4 linked regions of the Arabidopsis thaliana genome follow. The protein of the gene in region 4 purifies or fractionates together with the protein of the main gene of each other region. This does not show direct contact. Each region holds a gene or a part of one and is shown on either strand. Other genes may lie near its edges.

Evidence for each region.
Region 1: the proteins of VAM3 (region 4) and SYP52 purify together in Arabidopsis thaliana (affinity purification with western blotting; 2 studies listed by BioGRID, with this or other methods). This does not show direct contact.
Region 2: the proteins of VAM3 (region 4) and VAMP711 purify together in Arabidopsis thaliana (affinity purification with western blotting; one study listed by BioGRID). This does not show direct contact.
Region 3: the proteins of VAM3 (region 4) and SYP51 purify together in Arabidopsis thaliana (affinity purification with western blotting; 2 studies listed by BioGRID, with this or other methods). This does not show direct contact.

The regions. Positions count from the first base shown.
Region 1 is NC_003070.9:29,944,740-29,949,311, reverse strand, and holds SYP52 (syntaxin of plants 52), read right to left. Parts: upstream 2,839-4,572; 5' UTR 2,725-2,838; coding exon 2,636-2,724; intron 2,253-2,635; coding exon 2,031-2,252; intron 1,912-2,030; coding exon 1,706-1,911; intron 1,611-1,705; coding exon 1,510-1,610; intron 1,429-1,509; coding exon 1,384-1,428; intron 1,140-1,383; coding exon 1,008-1,139; 3' UTR 505-1,007; downstream 1-504. UniProt on the Arabidopsis thaliana protein: Vesicle trafficking protein that functions in the secretory pathway.
Region 2 is NC_003075.7:15,525,434-15,529,672, forward strand, and holds VAMP711 (vesicle-associated membrane protein 711), read right to left. Parts: upstream 2,494-4,239; 5' UTR 2,219-2,493; coding exon 2,002-2,218; intron 1,740-2,001; coding exon 1,549-1,739; intron 1,430-1,548; coding exon 1,266-1,429; intron 1,062-1,265; coding exon 974-1,061; 3' UTR 546-973; downstream 1-545. Other genes in the region: AT4G32160 (Phox (PX) domain-containing protein), read left to right, coding at 3,623-3,715, 4,126-4,236. UniProt on the Arabidopsis thaliana protein: Involved in the targeting and/or fusion of transport vesicles to their target membrane.
Region 3 is NC_003070.9:5,554,332-5,558,653, forward strand, and holds SYP51 (syntaxin of plants 51), read right to left. Parts: upstream 2,514-4,322; 5' UTR 2,303-2,513; intron 2,284-2,302; exon of another isoform or gene 2,120-2,283; intron 2,030-2,119; exon of another isoform or gene 2,015-2,029; 5' UTR 2,010-2,014; coding exon 1,795-2,009; intron 1,700-1,794; coding exon 1,494-1,699; intron 1,403-1,493; coding exon 1,302-1,402; intron 1,223-1,301; coding exon 1,178-1,222; intron 984-1,177; coding exon 852-983; 3' UTR 512-851; downstream 1-511. Other genes in the region: AT1G16250 (Galactose oxidase/kelch repeat superfamily protein), read left to right, coding at 2,883-2,884, 3,039-3,614, 3,793-4,322. UniProt on the Arabidopsis thaliana protein: Vesicle trafficking protein that functions in the secretory pathway.
Region 4 is NC_003076.8:19,011,463-19,015,821, reverse strand, and holds VAM3 (Syntaxin/t-SNARE family protein), read left to right. Parts: upstream 1-1,711; 5' UTR 1,712-2,026; coding exon 2,027-2,211; intron 2,212-2,339; coding exon 2,340-2,433; intron 2,434-2,512; coding exon 2,513-2,652; intron 2,653-2,809; coding exon 2,810-2,872; intron 2,873-2,985; coding exon 2,986-3,143; intron 3,144-3,222; coding exon 3,223-3,323; intron 3,324-3,414; coding exon 3,415-3,480; 3' UTR 3,481-3,801; downstream 3,802-4,359. Other genes in the region: AT5G46870 (RNA-binding (RRM/RBD/RNP motifs) family protein), read right to left, coding at 331-336; AT5G46850 (phosphatidylinositol-glycan biosynthesis class X-like protein), read right to left, coding at 3,812-4,108, 4,188-4,342. UniProt on the Arabidopsis thaliana protein: May provide the t-SNARE function in the vacuolar assembly. Promotes the formation of vacuolar membrane 'bulbs'. Required for inflorescence stem gravitropism.

The sequences.
Region 1 (4,572 bases), on a different chromosome or scaffold from region 4:
GCCACCTCCCCGAAATCCCTGGACTATACGAAAATTGCTGTTTTCGCTAAAATAAATAAACTGGGGCGCGTGATGGGTATTTTCACTTTGAAGAAAAAGAAGTTAAGTCTTTCGGGCCTATTTTATGGAGCCCATGTCTGTTTTATCTGTGGTTAAATTTTTATGATAAAATAACAAGCCCATAAACAATTAACCTGGTTATTTCGTATACGCTATTTTTGTCACAATACGTTATTTTTCCGTATACAAAAACATTAAAAATTTATAAACATCAAATGAACCAATATATTGAGAATCATGACGCGCGACTTTTGTTTACAACTTTTTATTTGACAGTATTGAAATAATGTTACCAGAAAACTTTATTTAATCTTTAACTTCGACCCAAACCTATAGGTCTTTTTAAGAAAATATGAATCTATTTATTTGGTTATAACAATTTCGAGTTGTGAAATACAACAAAGCAAAAAAGTTTCTATTACTTTTGTTAAGAAAAAATTTCTAGTTAAATTGATTTTGAAACAATTAGAGATGTTTAATTCATATTCTAATCCGGAATCAAACAATGAAATCACCCCAAAGGAGGTGATTGCCAATGCTCCCCATCATAAGCAGCGCCTACAGAGCTAAAAGGCCAAGTGGCTAACCTTACAGAATGTGACTGAGATCAATTTTTCCACACAATAAAAAAATTGATGGTCACTTTATAAAAAAATGATTGCCATCTTGACCATTATGTCTCTGCATTGTCCAAGCCACTAGTTCTCTTTATTGAACCAAGTAGGAGCCATACCATATATAGACAAATGTCAACTTAGTTTACAATTCGTGGTTGATACGAAGGTAATACAGATTATGTACTTCTGAGGGTTTCTTACACGCAGTGGTATTCTTCTTTGCCTCACAGACACGAATCAATCGATAGAAGGAATAGAAAACAACCATTAAGCACAGAGGATAGGCTGAGAGAAAAGGATGAGCTTTCACAAGTTGCCACCACATTGGCATTACAGGTACTTAACCAGCAGCCAAATTACAAGAGCAAGACCAACGATTCCAAGCACAGACAAGAGCATAGACATGCATGAGCAACCACTTTTCATGCTCTTGTTCATCAAGGCAAGGCTCTTTTGAACACGCTGCAATCATCAAGAAACACAAACAGGCTACATCAAATCCAAGACGAGATGTGAATCACATTAAACTAAAAAATTATTGCTTTTTATGATAAAAAAAAAAAGCAACGACCGAGAGATTCTTAGACATAATAGACCAGTATATTGTTAAAATCACTTGCTTGCCTTCCTATTGTTCTTTAGCTTATCAATGGACCAGCTTAAGCTAGTGACTAATGAGACTAATTTGTTCGAAGCATATACTTACCCGTAAGCGAGAGTCAGTGATATCCACATCGTAATCTAAGTCATCCTGCATGGAAGAAAGTCCCATTTCGTTAGAATAAGAAATCAAAATCAACAAGAAAAGCAATGAACAACAGCGGAGACATACAATAAGCCTTGTCTGCAGGGTGAGCTCCTCGTTAACAGCGAGAGCAATGTGTTTGGTACTCATGACTGTTTCCTCCAACTTCTCAAGTCCCTCGTCTTGTTCTACTCATGGAAATAAAATACAATCAAAGAGAAATTAATACAGACGCCAAGATCATTACTATGGTCCTAGAACAGTGTTACATACCACATCTTACCTCTCATAACTTGCCGTTGAAATACAACAATTCCTTGGTTGTCCATGCCAGAGACTCTATTTATCGCATCATCCGGCTTTAAATCTGTTCCAAACAAGCTGTCTCTGTTTGCAAAGTTTGACATATTCAAAGCAGAGGCCACCTGATTTGTTTTTGATCTCAAATTCCCAACCATATCCTTGCGACGATTCATCTCTTTCTCCGAACTGTTTATCAGCAAATTGCATACACATAAACCATAATTACATAGTTCAAGACCAACATGAAACTTAGCGTTGTCTAACATGAGGAGTTTGAACAGGCAACCAGAATCAGAATGGCTTACACATGCTGCTTGCCAGGAACCTTGACAAGAAGGGATTGCAGACTGTCTAATCGAGTCCCCAAAATGGTGATCTTTCTTCGAATTGCAGAGGCACGACGTTGAGCATCAGGCCCGGTTAACCCGGAGGCATTCCTTTCAGACATCATGCCATTAATATCCTCAGAGAGTTTCAAAGCCTCATTGTACTCTCTCATCCATGGATCCGAAGAAGAGGCCATTGACCTGAAAACAAGTACCTAACTAATTAAAACACAGCAATACTTATCTTCTACATAAAGATCATGTAAAGAGAATCACAAGTAGCTCAAAGAAGTATTTGATCATGAAAAAAACTAGTAGCTTCAACAACGAAACTCTTGTGACCCAATGAAAATCTCGTACATGATGAACAAGAATCTTAACACAATTACCATAGACCGTGTAAAGAGCTTTTCACAAAAAGGCAACAAATTTAGAAGCTTTTAGTAGCGAGTCACAATGATATGAAAACAAAATGAAAATAGCAGTGAATAAAATCAATTTCAGATGGAAAAATTAGGTATCAGCATAGACACAAAATCTTCGGCCATCATCCGAAAATTCAGGTGGAAAAATAAAAACTTTACTGTTGCGTAGAAAAAAAAATGAGACGGCGGAAGCAGAAACTAGAGTCGAAAAGAATCAGCCACTGAGACCCAAAATCTGCGATACCCATTATTTATAAATTCATAATCAGGGAAAATCGGAAAGATTTCGCGCCAGGAAAAACACCCCAAATCAAAGAAGCGACGGAATTGACCTAAATTTACATGGTGAAAGGAATCGAAAAGCTTACCCTTTAGACTATATGCACCGCGATTTGTGATTGTGGCGGGTCTTCTTCTACTTTGAAGATCGAAACGCGATCGTCGTGCTGACTTTGCAGGCACGAAAATAATGATTAGTCCAAAATCTGTAACGCAACCAACAACAACGCCAACGAAGATTTTAATTTATTTGAAGAATGAATTCAGATTTTATACCAGCTGTATCAAACGACTACGTTTTCCTATCTTTGTTGACGGCTCGTTGAAGATGCCTGGATTTAATACTGATTATATAAAGTTAGGGTTGAGATGACATAACAGAAATAAATTATGGGTTCAAAAGTATAAACACATAAACAATAATAATAGGTTTATTCATCTTTGGGCTTCCTAAATTAAATGGGTCGTCATAAAAAGGGTAATACTTTTAAGGCCCATTTAATATACTCATGAAACGACGCCGTGCACAAGATTGGTCTAGTTGGCATCTACCTACCTTTTTGGTATTCATCCTCAATATGCAATTTATCCATCAACAATGAACACTTGTAATTAATTTAAATGAAATCTCTTAGATTGTTTGGCTAATATAAATTTTCATAAAATGTTTTATATAATAAATACCCGAAAAATGGTAGTATTTAATTTCCCTCCTTGTTATAAAATAGCCAGGTGATTCAGTAATTCACCTGAACCAAACGGTGTACAACACATATATATATATTGTATACTAAAGGTAATTGCGTATCACTTTGAATTTTATACGTACACTTAATTAGCCATAATGGGGATTCTAAAATAAGATTATAAGTTTCAGAACATGTTGGTATCTCTATATGATTAAACGCTCATTAATAAGGGGTTTAATGCATGACGTCTTCGTGAAGGCAACGGCACATCTCAATAAGATAATATTGGGCCAACAGAAACTTGTAAGTTTCATAAATTGTTTTACGAAGAGATTATTTACCGTGAGAATCCAATGTTTTTATGTGTTTCGTGTATCTTACATGGAATTTAGGAAATTAAAAGTTACCATTCATATCATATTCGTTTTTATCTTTAATAGTTTTATGTAATTCGTTTGGGGAAAAAAGTGAGAAGAAGATAAATTTTGAGGCGAATCTCAAGAAGAGAGAGTGAAGTCAAACGAGGGACCTTGAATTGTGGATTTGGTGTTGGACCATCACGTGCTCTCCTCCACGGCCTTTCAGGATTTTGCTTCTTCTACCGCACGTGCCACACTCCTCCTCCTACGTACCGGTTTCCATTATTGCTTTTTTCTTCTTTGCATTCCAATTCTTCTTCTTATTCTTTTTGTCAAAGGCTCTAAAGTCTCTATATCTATTTGTTCGTTTAGTGAACTTTTTTATTTATATCAAATGGATTATTTCATAAACTTGTAAGAGTTATATTTCAGGAAATCATATCCACAGTTTTGAAGATCGATCCCCCATGCCTTTTTATATATACAAATTCAGTTATGATTGTTTGACGCAACTGCAGATAAATCATGTGTATACACATTATAGGGAAACATTAATAGTAATCCTGCTATTTGCAGAACCTTAAGAACGTCTGTGAACTGAACGTACGTTATTATGTATTAATATTTCAACTTTAAAGTTTAAACTAAAAAAAAATTAGCAGAAGAAAATTACATGAAAATTGTCTTACAAAATGTTAAGAAAAAAAAACGCTAGTGGAAATGCGCCAATATTACTTGCACGTTCAATCATATAGTATAATTAGCTGTT
Region 2 (4,239 bases), on a different chromosome or scaffold from region 4:
GGAAGGAACGGGGCACGCAGAGGGAAAGCGTTAGACCAGGAAATATTTACACTTTTGTTTTTTTTTGTAAGGAAAGTAAATAATCATGTTTTTTTTAATAAATATATAGTATTAATTTTGTTATGACTTTAATTGGACTGTAGAATTTTTAGTAAGCGTGATGTAGCCGTCTTTTCTTTTCTTCTTTTTCTGTAACGATATTTAAACCGTAAAGTCGACGCTTTTTATTTTTTTTGGTTCAACCAAACATTTTAGTATTTTGATCATATATGGATATAAATTCCATCCTTTTAGTTAGTAAACATGGTGTTGATAAAAACAAAATTTTATATTTGAAATGCTGCTATTATATAAATAAAAGGTTAAATCCACCTACTATAATTTATTTAGCTATTATTAGGTGGCATGACAAGATGTCAAGTTGGTGAATGAGGTGCGTCTGGCCTTAACTAGAGATGATACCCATATTTTATTTTCGGACGACAATTTATGACACTTGTTGTATCTTGTTCTCCTATCTTTCTTTTCTAATATTTACATTCGATTTATGATCAACAAATGGCTTCAATTGTAAAATGACAAGAATTTGTAGGGTCAACGACGTACAAGATCATTCAACTGCCGACTTCAGAAGTTGGTGTGGATATACGAGAGAGGAAGTCACATAAACAAAGAACATGAAGATTCAAAGAGTTGTATGAACATATCAGACAAAGCAAGCCTGTTCACTTTTCCACTATGTATGTAATTTATAGAACATGATGTCAACAAAGATTCACACACTTCGCAAAGCAATGAGCTTTTACATTGCTCTATAAATAAGTATACTTTTTCATATACGTGAGTTGGAAACATAAGCTTTTTAAGCCACATGAAAATGCTCAGGAAAACACAAGGTTTACAATCAGATGAGGAGATAAAAAGTCGTGGCAACGCGCAGAATCGGGATGGATTCCTTAAGAGACAGATGCACTTAAATGCAAGATGGTAGAGTAGGTCCGTGGCAGAGAAAGGCCACTGCAATGTATATGATCACCAGTAGTAGTAGTATTAAGAGGACCCTGCAAGAGACAAAAAGGGTTAGGAATTAGGAACTATGTTCGATTCTTAAAAAATTCTCACTTGACATTACAAATGTGGAACTTGGGGTGATTAAAGTACTTTTTGCTATAGTTAAATGTGTTCTTAGGCCAAAAACTAGTTTTAGTATACAGTCTTGCAATCATAATACTGAAAATTGTTTACTAAGGTTTTAGGAAACATACGTGAGCTTGCAGTTTCTCCACCAGACGTTGCTTCTAAAACGACGAGCTTGCTTTCTGAACCGGAATGTATTCCCCTGCATATTGGCGGTTTTATCGACAAGAAGCTCCAAACGTTCACCTCTATCTAGGACTTTGTCAATGTTTTCTATCATGACACCCCGCACCTATCCAAAACCAAAAAGAAAAACCAGGATGTATTGTCAAACAGTGAAGCCAAGACTCAGAACCATGTCTCTAAACAACTTCACAATCCGACTGAACTTGTAAGACAAACTCATCAAACCTGATTCATTTCACCCTTAATACGATTAATCCTATCGGCATTAGGATCATTAGAGTAATAGTCAATCTGCTGACTGAGAACTCTAGAGAATTCCTCATTCATTGCATAAGCTAGTGCTGTATGAACAGCCCTGCCATAAGTCCGTACGAATCTCTGGTGAATATCCTCCAAAAAGGCAAAAGGAATTCTCCCTGACATAAAAAAGTTTTGACTTTTGAGTTAGAAAGACATTCACATCTCTCTAATGCACAGCTTCTCGGATATAATTGTGTTGATGTTATGTCCAAAAAAATCAAATTCATTCACATCACAATATAAGACCAAAGGTCTCGAATTCAATAACAGAGCGATCGTTCAGAGCAAAAAAGGATTAGACTTTTGAATTCCACTGTCACCAAAGTTGGAAACTTCCTCAAAATTAGCCATAGAAGTAAAAGAAAGGGGAGGACGTACTTCCGGCGGTTTCTTCGGCCATACAGAGAACGGTGAGGCCATCGGTGCGTTTAACGTGGAAGACGTAACGATCCTGAGAGTAGGAGACGTTGCTGTCGTTGTCTCCAGGGACCTTCTCGAGGATCTGTTTGGCGATGGTGCTCGCATTCGTAGAGGTGGCGGTGAACTCAGAAAGAACCACCGTGCCACGAGCCACGAGGGCGTACAGAATCGCCATCTCCGTCGTCGATCCCCCTGCCGAATCAACAAAACTCGTGTAAGGTCAACGAAGAAGAAGGTTTTCCCGCGGAAACCGAGCCAGCCAGACGAATCGCTGGATCAATCAATCAGAGAGAGAGAGAGAGAGAGAGAGAACCAATTGGCTTCTTTTTCTCTCTGCATATAATTGAATCTCTTTCTCTCTCTCTCCTCTTGGAGTTTAGCTGGAGCTGGAGACCTTTTCGCCTCCGCTGATTACAAATATTTAATTTCGGATAGCTACGTTGATTTATTTTTAAAATACTGTATTATTATAAGGATCAAAATGAAATTTTGTCAAAATATCACGGGCAAAACTAAGTTAGTTCTTTTTGTTTTGTCGGAACTAATTTAGTTCTAATAAGTAAAAAATATAAATATGAAAAGAAAACAATTTGCTTCAGTTTCGAAAATATTGTACCGTGAATTGTTTTATAAGGATTATTAATGGTTAACGCTAAATTAGTTTGATATCAAACTTATAAGAAATACAAAGAAAACAAACAAATTCTATCAGTTTCAAACAAATAGAGAAATCTGAGCAAAAAGATCGAATAATTGTAATTTATCCGTGGAAGAAGATGTGATTTTAAAGTGTAAATTTTTACGAATATGAAGGATAAAATGTAGGGATGTGTTCAAATCATCATTAAATCAGTTTTTTTTTTTTTAGTGTGGTAGTGACGTACCAAACAAAACCAAAAAGCGGTCTATTTCCTTCTGGTTTGAAACGATTTGGGTCAAAATTGGGTTTCGAGTTTGAATAAGATATGAGTGAATAATATACTAACTTTAGCCAAAGACAAAAAAAAAAAAGGAAAATTAAAGGCAGAAAAATGAAAATGACATCCAATGAGCTGAGCCTAAACCAAACATAGCCAGAGATAAGCCTTACAAAATGTACAACAGATATAAAATCCCAATTCCCAACTCTAAACCAAGACGTGGTTCACGACCCAAACCGAATCTCACGGGAAAAAGTGGGACATATACACATATATACACGGTAAGCTTCGCGCCTCCGTCAAATCACGTGTTGTTTCTTCTCGGCTTTTCCGTTAAAGTAAACGTCACAACACCGCCGTTAATCACCGTGGTCTGTGGGAATTCAACCCAGAGGCAGAGAAGACCCTGAGAGACGCCATCTGGTCCTTCTTTTGCCTCCATCTGTGTCCTCTCTCTCTCTCCTCGATCTCACGACGATCTTCATAAACCCTACGCTCTGCTTACTCTTCCATCATCTTTTGCTCAGATTTCGTAATTTGTGGTTTCTCGATCGGGATATTAGTACTCGATCGTGTCTCCGATTGATTCTGATCGGAATATCAAATTCGGATTCCGGAGAGCTGGAGATAGAGAGAGACTTAGGTAAAGTTTGGTGGAGATGATGCAGAGACGGAGTCCGCCCAAGCACAGGCATGACGGAACATCGCCGCTTCCATTAGGAATGGATTGGAGTCCTCCACCGCGCAAATGGGTGAGTTCTTTTGTTGCCAAAAATTCGAACTTTATTGGACTTTACCACGTTACCTTTTGGAAGTGCCGTGCTAGAATTCTTCAGTTGCCTGCTTTATTCTAATGGGACTTGAGATAAATGTGGATGTCTTTGTTATTAGTCCCAAGCTATGGGGATAGCTAGTGTAGTTACCAGCAAGTCCAATGGTAGACTCACCACATAAGGCATTAGAAGTCATTTCCTACAATTGGTGAATTCTGTTGTTGCCCTCTATTGAATTGTTAGTTTATCTTTTGTTTAACATCAGGGGTAGCTAAATCTTTATTTATGCAGCTTTGGATAGCTCCAGACTATAAAGTATCATTCTACTCGATTGAATTCCATATATGTACAAGTTGGAGATTTTGAGATATTTATGTTTATTTCTGCAGAATGGTAGAGATACTGTTTGGCCTCATGACCCTCGAACTGGATGGAGTTATTGCGTTACAATACCCTCGTGGATTGTCCTTCCAAAATCAAGAAATTCAGATCCTGTTGTGGTA
Region 3 (4,322 bases), on a different chromosome or scaffold from region 4:
GATTAATCCTACATAATCAAAAATCCAATACAGATCACTTTCAGACAACTTTTAACTTTACCAAGGATGTATATAAATGCAACAATAAGAACAACAAAAATCCAACTAGCTTACAAGAAGCAACAACTTCGATAATGGTATTGGCACATGTATTAAAGGAAGATCGGAGCAATTCAGCAACATATATATCTCTAAAAGAGAATCAAATTGCTCACCAAGGACCTTTAAATAATACATCATTGTCATTGAGAAAGAGATCAACTTGCTGAGTGCTGACTTTGTAGCCACGCAGCCAGACGGCAGTTTCCTTCGAAAGAAGACATCTTCTAAATACGAGACCATTACTTATATGATCGTAGAAAGGTAGGCCTACGTTGACAATTCTTGGCGAAATAAAAAAAGGAACATGCATTACACTATCTCTTGTTTTGCCTCTTACAAATGTAGAGATTAAGAAACAGTACACATGTATAAAATGAAGGATCAGATACGTATTTTGCGAATTTTGTTTCCAGTGATGATGATATGAATATTGGTGTTTTACAAAATTTCCACAATGTTCTTCTTATAACAAACTCAGACAAGTTTCTTCGTGGAAGATTCTACAGATAATTTTTGTTTTTTTGTCTCTGTGTTTGACTTGCTACCACTTCTTAAATCTTTATGAAGACAGCAAAGAGCAAACTGTGATAACTGCACACATTATATATTACTTAAAGGGTTTTGGTAACAGAAGAGAAATGAAAAGCTCAGCCACAAATGTGGAATGAGGAAATACATTGCAACCATTCACATAGAGAGTAGAGGCCAGTGGACCTACAGAGGAACTTATAAGTTGTCTGATGTTGGTATTACATATACTTAACCAACATCCATATTACAACAGCAAGACCGACGATCCCCAGCACTGACAAGAGCATTGACATGCAAGAGCAACCACTTCTCATATTCTTGTTCATGACAGCAAGGCTCTTCTGCACTCTCTGTAATAAGATAACAGATCAATGTCTTTAATTAGCCATTAGCTTAAGCATAATGTGGTTCTTGGTTGAGCAAACCGAAAACAGATCACCATTACATCAGTGTTACTCCTAATGAAAGTATGGATCAACTAAAGCTTGGGATTCACCAAAGTAATTAGTTTGTTGAAATATTTAAGAGTTGAAGCATATATTACCCTTAAGCGAGAGTCAGTAACATCCACATGGTAATCTAAGTCATCCTGCATAAAGGAAAATCCAAATGTGTTAGTATCCGAAAATTCAAATCAAAGGCGAAAAAATGAAAAGCTAGTGACATACAATAAGCCTAGTCTGCAAGTCAAGCTCTTCACTAACAGCCAGAGCAATGTGTTTTGTGCTCATGACTGTTCCCTCCAATTGCTCAAGTCCTTCGTCTTGTTCTACTCACAGGAAAATAAAACATTCAATAGGAAAAAACAAATACAGAAATCAACATCTGTATTACGTTTACTAGGATAAGAGAGGTTTTACCTCTCATAACTTGTCGTTGATATCCAACAATTCCTTGGTTATCCATGCCAGTAACTCTGCTCATGGAATCATCCGGCTTGATATCTGGCCCGAGCAAGCTGTCTCTATTGGCAAAGTTTGACATGTTCAAAGCATTCGCCATCTGGTTTGCTTTTGACCTCAGATTCCCTACCATATCCTTTCGCCGATTCATCTCTTTCTCTGAACTGTGTCAGTAAGTAATAATTCAGATTAACACTAACCTTAAAGGTGTCTAATTTACAGATTTAAGCAATTAGGATTGGACTAGTAAATGGCTTACATAGGTTTTCCATGAATTTCAGCAAGAAGAGACTGCAGACTATCTAATTTGTTACCGAAAATGGTGATCTTCCTTCGTATAGCTGAAGCACGACGCTGAGCATCAGGCCCTGTGACAGCCGATGAACTTCTTTCTGATATCATTCCATTAATCTCCTCAGAGAGTTTTAAAGCCTCGTTGTATGCTCTCATCCATGAATCCGATGAAGACGCCATTATTCCTATATAATTAAAAGCTAATCAAAGCCTGGATCACTTCCATTGAAATTTTAAAATGATCAAGGATATATACGTAAGATCCAACAGAAACAACAACAAAGATCTACAAATTGAGACAAAAACGCGGCCTTTGACTACAATTTTGAGGCACAAGGCTCAAAATCTGAAATTTACAGGATCATGAAGTCCATTATCAGGGGAAGATCAGAGAGATTCAGTAACAGATATAATCCCTCATCAATGACTCGGATTGACAAAAATAACATCGTTTAAAGGATCGAATTGCTTACCAAATTATTTCTCGGACCTTTGTATTCTTCAATTTGTCCGAGCTCGTACCATGTAAGAGATCGGCTTATTAAATGTTGAGTCTGTAGTCGCCGGAATCACCGTGAATCGGAGGAGAATGATTCAACCTGTCACGCACCGGGTAGCAGGGCCCGTCGCAAGAAAGATGAGATAAAGACGAAGCTGAAATAAAACGACGCGGTTTTAACTTGTTATCTTGGAAAAGTTATGGGTTAAATTAGTTATTTAAGAAAGTATGCGTTAAGAAGCAGAAAGAACATATAAATGAAGGGATCAATAAAGAATATTTAAATTTTCGACCCATTATAATGGATCTATCCATCTCATGCCTGTTTCTTCCGTCTCCTCTCTTCCTTGCCAGAATCCTGAGTTTCTCTCTGACTGTGCTTAGTTCCATCATAACTATATCGTTCTGATTGCAGTTTCCGTTTCGATTATCGTTAATGGTGTTTTTGTTTCCGGGAAAGTGATAAACTTTGAAGCGCGATTTTGGTGTTCTAAAGCAAGTTCGAGAAGGGGATCAGAAGATACATTTACAATCTCTCGAGTACGATTCGGTTCATGTAAGTGTTAGCTCTCTTGTTCTTCCTTCACAAAGTTGAATCTAAATCTCAATCCTTTACCTTTTCTCTTCAAAATCATGTTTTGTCTTAAAACATTGAATGTTGATTATTGATTGAATAAGTCTGATCGTTAGTGGCTGAAACTTGTTTTCAGGGAATCAATCGAGCAGTCTATAATCCCAGGTTTGCCTGATGATTTGGCTTTGAGATGCATAGCGAAGCTTTCTCATGGGTATCATGGAGTGCTCGAATGTGTTTCCAGAGGCTGGAGAGATTTAGTTCGTGGTGCTGATTACTCGTGCTATAAAGCTAGAAATGGATGGTCAGGGAGCTGGTTGTTTGTGTTGACGGAACGTTCTAAGAATCAGTGGGTTGCTTATGATCCTGAAGCTGATCGATGGCATCCATTGCCTAGAACTAGAGCTGTTCAAGATGGTTGGCATCATTCTGGTTTTGCGTGTGTTTGTGTTTCCAATTGTCTTCTTGTGATTGGGGGTTGTTATGCGCCTTCGGTGTCATCGTTTCCTCATCAGAAGCCTGTTGTCACTAAAGATGTCATGCGGTTTGATCCGTTTAAGAAACAATGGAAAATGGTTGCTAGTATGCGAACACCACGGACTCACTTTGCTTGTACTTCTGTCTCTGGCAAGGTTTATGTTGCTGGAGGTCGTAATTTAACTCATTCCAGGGGAATCCCATCTGCTGAGGTTTATGATCCTGTCGCTGATAGGTATTTTTTCCCACACTAATGTGGTTTATATTCTCGTGTAGGATAGAACTGGCATATTTAACCCCACAATGTACTCTTTTTGTTTTTTTCTATGATGGGTCAAGATATAGTTTTAAAAGTTTTCTCATGTTTCACCTGAAAAGCTATCAAACTGGAGTATGACATAGTAGTATTGCAGGTGGGAGGAATTACCAGCAATGCCTAGACCACAGATGGACTGCTCGGGGTTATCGTACAGAGGCTGCTTTCATGTTTTAAGTGACCAGGTGGGATTTGCAGAGCAAAATTCATCTGAAGTTTTTAATCCACGAGACATGACTTGGTCCACTGTGGAGGATGTCTGGCCTTTCTCTAGAGCCATGCAGTTTGCTGTTCAGGTGATGAAAAATGATCGGGTGTATACTATTGTAGATTGGGGAGAAAGCTTGATCAAGACTAGGGATACAGATGAAGGGGAATGGTACAATGTTGGTTCAGTTCCTTCTGTTGTTCTTCCTAATCATCCGAGAGAGTTAGAAGCCTTCGGTTATGGGTTTGCAGCTCTAAGGAATGAACTCTATGTTATAGGAGGTAAGGTCCTTAAATGGGAAGAATCAGGGGCAGGGAGATTTGACATTGTGAGATTGCCTGTTGTGAGGGTATGTAACCCTTTGGATAGACCTCTGAATTGGAGAGAGACCAAACCAATGTGCATTCCAGCCGGTGGGT
Region 4 (4,359 bases):
TGTGTCATTAACAATGTTCAGACTGACATGAATTTGAAAACAGAGAGCACAAAAGTGTTAAACCCCTTACTCCTAAAGTTAACGAATTGGTTAAGTTCTGATTAACTTAAAAGTTATACATATAAGAAGCTGTGTCCAAAAATAAATTCACAAAGTTTTAACTAATTAGATAAATACTAATCACATTTATCAAACAAGTAATCCATAAGAAGGTAAAACCCAAAATTAGTGATTCTAAACGCCAATTTCAACATATCTAATCGCAGCTGGTGATCGAAATTCTACAAATACGAGACGAGAACGATTAATCGGATATGAAGGAGTACTCACCGACATTGCTAAAAACCGATATAAACCGGATTGAAACGGAAGATTTTCTGAATTTGAAACGAAAACAGAAGAGAAAATGAAAATCCTAGTAAGGAAAAATCTTTGGCTGTGAGGAAAATACAAAGCGGATTCAATTTAAATACAATTCTCCGGTACGTGTAACCGTCGGGATTATGTTTTTTTTTTTTTGTCTCGCCGGCGACTTCAAGGAAGAAAAAGGTCGTGCTTAGCTATTTCTTTGTCGGGAAAGATTCTAATTAAATTTTAATCATATAGTACTTACGTTTAAAACAAAACAAAAGACGTGACATAATCACATTATCAACCACTATCTGTCGTCCACGTGTCCAAAACCGTTTCTGCTTTTCACATGTAGTAAAGTTTAATAACCTCATCATTGGAAATCTTGCGAAAAAAATGCTGATAAAGTAATTACATTAACACTTTCCATTAGGGCTGGGCAAAATATTCGATCGATCCGCTTCGATTCGGTATTCGATTTGATTTGATTCGAAAAATCCGAATTTCCGTAAGATTTTGGACCAAAGCAAATAGGAAAATGTAGTATTCGTAAAAACCGAATCAAATAGCAAATATTGTTTTTTAAAAAATCAAATATCCGCTTCGATCCGTATCTTTTGATATATATTAGAATATATAGTTATATCTATATATAGATATCATAAATAGTTTGTGTATTGTTGCTACCTTATGTTTTTATGTTAAGATGTTTGTTTGATATTTTTTTTTATGTTATGTTTTGATCAATGACATCAAAAACTATCGAGTTTTAGTTTTTGGAATTAGTTTGATAACATTTTTGTTGACCGGTGATAACAACAAAGGTTATATTTGGTATTTAGAACTTATTTTGAAAGCATGTTAAATAAAAACTTTGAATATCTGATATGGTTATATAGTTTATATATTTTTTTAAAATATTTATACGTATCAAAGCGGATATCCGCAAATATCACAAAAAAATCCGGATATTCGAAATTCCGGATATCCGGAAAGTTTCGAATCAAAGCAAATCATAAAATCAAGTATTCGGTTAAAACGAATCGAATAACAAATATCACAATTTTTCCGAATATTCGCTTCGTGCCCAGACCTACTTTTCATTATTAAACTTTCACCTAAAATAGTTAAACTAAGGGCACCGAACCAAATTGAACTGTTTAAACCGTAGTGGAATCTTATATAAACTGATTTGATTGTATCTGAACTAAACCAAACCAAATAAATGTTTTATTAAAACTTTACATTTTAACTATTTACACATATTGAGAAAAAATATAATCATATTAATATATAAACTAACTAAAAATTATTGTTTATTAACTAAAACTGAATCAAATCAAAAATAAAAACAAACTGACCCAAACCAAAATCTCAATAAACCAAACCAATTGTTTAATTTGGCAAGAAAAACAGAAACGAGGAGAGGTTACTAAATATATAGAAATAAAAGGATCAAAAAGGAAACAACTTTATCTCAGCTTTTTCTTCTCAATTAAAATCAGTTTGGGATTTTTTCGAAAACGCTTTTCAATCTTCGTCTATCTGTCTCCACGATCCACGCCTTGACCTTCGTTTTTTTTTTCTCAGAGATTAGAGAAAACTCCGATAACCAATTTCTCAATCTTTTTGTAGATCCAATTTTTCCAGGAAAAAAAGAGGTTTCGCGAAGAAGATGAGTTTTCAAGATTTAGAATCAGGAAGAGGAAGATCAACGAGGAAATTCAATGGTGGTCGACAAGATTCGACACAAGCCGTTGCTTCTGGAATATTCCAGATCAATACCGGAGTCTCCACGTTTCAGCGACTCGTTAACACACTTGGTACTCCCAAAGATACACCGGAGCTCCGGGAGAAGCTGTATGTTGAAATTGAAATCTAAATTTCATTTGATAAAAAAAATTGAATTTTTGATTTCAATTTTGATTGCTTTTTTTTTTTTGTGGATTCTGAATTTAGAAATTATTATTCGGATTTTGTTGTGATAGGCACAAGACAAGGTTGCATATTGGACAGCTTGTGAAGGATACTTCAGCTAAACTTAAAGAAGCTAGTGAAACTGATCATCAAAGCGGTGTCAATGTAAAGTGGAATCTTTTTCTTCTTGTTTGGTTTTTAAGCGACTCTTTGTTGTGTGTTTGATTGTTGTGTAATTGTGTAGCCAAGTAAGAAGATTGCAGATGCTAAGCTTGCAAGGGACTTTCAAGCTGTTTTAAAAGAGTTTCAGAAAGCTCAACAAACTGCTGCTGAAAGAGAAACCACTTATACTCCTTTCGTGCCTCAATCTGCTCTTCCCTCTAGGTAACGTGACTGATTGATTATATGTGGTTTCATGTATGTTAAGCTCGAATTCGAATTAGAAGTGTGATTATCATAAGCAAAAAGCATCACTTTGTGAATTGTTTGTGTGGTTTTGATAATCATGTTCCTTATTTTTCTTGTCTGACTCCGTATATAGCTATACGGCGGGTGAGGTGGATAAGGTACCGGAACAGCGGGCACAACTTCAGGAGTCGAAAAGGTAGGTGATATCGAAAAAATATTCTTTTACACATCTCTTATATGATGCAACTTATTTTCTCCTTTGCTTGATTGTTGATGCAACTTATTTTCTCCTTTGCTTGATTGTTGTAGACAAGAACTTGTATTGTTAGACAACGAGATTGCATTCAACGAGGCTGTGATTGAAGAAAGAGAGCAAGGAATACAAGAAATCCATCAGCAAATTGGTGAGGTTAACGAGATATTCAAAGATCTTGCGGTTCTGGTTAACGATCAAGGAGTCATGATAGGTAAAGACAATCTATTAAACTTAATTAGAACATGCCCTTGAAGCTGCAGTTAGAGAACTCACTTTTTTCTTTCTTGCAGATGATATTGGTACTCACATTGACAACTCCCGTGCTGCAACTTCACAAGGAAAATCTCAGCTTGTGCAAGCCGCGAAAACACAAAAATCAAACTCCTCTCTGGTAAAACACTCAAAAAAGTTTTCAGACAAAAACAGTGACTGAATGTTTTTTGGAAACCTTAGGCTAATGTGTTGATCTTGTTTACACGCAGACATGCTTGCTCTTGGTGATATTTGGCATTGTTCTCCTGATCGTGATTATAGTACTCGCAGCTTGATTTCGAACAGCAAGAACATTTCGTTTGTGTGTGTTCATTGATCTTAAGGCATCAATGACTGGAACTACTTGGTATATATTATATGTTGAAGAGAACACTTAGAAGTTGGTTTTGTGTTTGTTTGGGTTGGTTCAGTTCGGTTTGAGGTTCTATTGGTTAATGTAATAGTGTGTGCGTGTGTGGCTTTTTTGTTGTGCAAACATTTTGTTGGAGATGACAGAAACTCTGTTTTGTTTGTGATTCTCCTATGTTCTCCTAAATCTTTGTTGAGAGGAAACAAAAACTATTTGCTCAATGAGTGTCACAAAGAAGTTTGAAACCAAAAGCAGAGTCATGACTGCTTCAAGTTTTTACAAGATTCACCCTTTGAGCTCAAAACCGATGCCACGAGTATTGAAAATGCAGAAAAAACCGCAGCGGCGAATGTCAAGGCGGAAACATACTCTGTATGACCCCTGATTCCGGCAGGGATATCCCAGAAAACAGACCTGGTTTCAGTCTTCGATCTGCCAATCGACAAAACCAAACATCTCCTCCGTTCACGTCGCTGGTTTTGTACATGGCTCGAGCACAAGAACAAGTCTGGCTCGCCAAACTCCACTCTAGAGTATCCACTGTCGTCCAGAGGCTGTGGAGATAACAGAGAAGTAAAGATCCAATCTTATTGACATCGACCAAAATAAGACTTAGTTCAAGTGATCATTTACCTGATACCGAGCATGTAAAGGAAGCTTAAAGCTTATTTCACCATTTTCATAATTTCTAGAGCTGATTTCAACATGAATCTCAACGACGGATCTGTTCGATCTAAACGAAGGCAGCTCAAGATTTGTGTCACCAAACACAGATACGTCACTGAAAGCTGCAAAAAAGATTCAA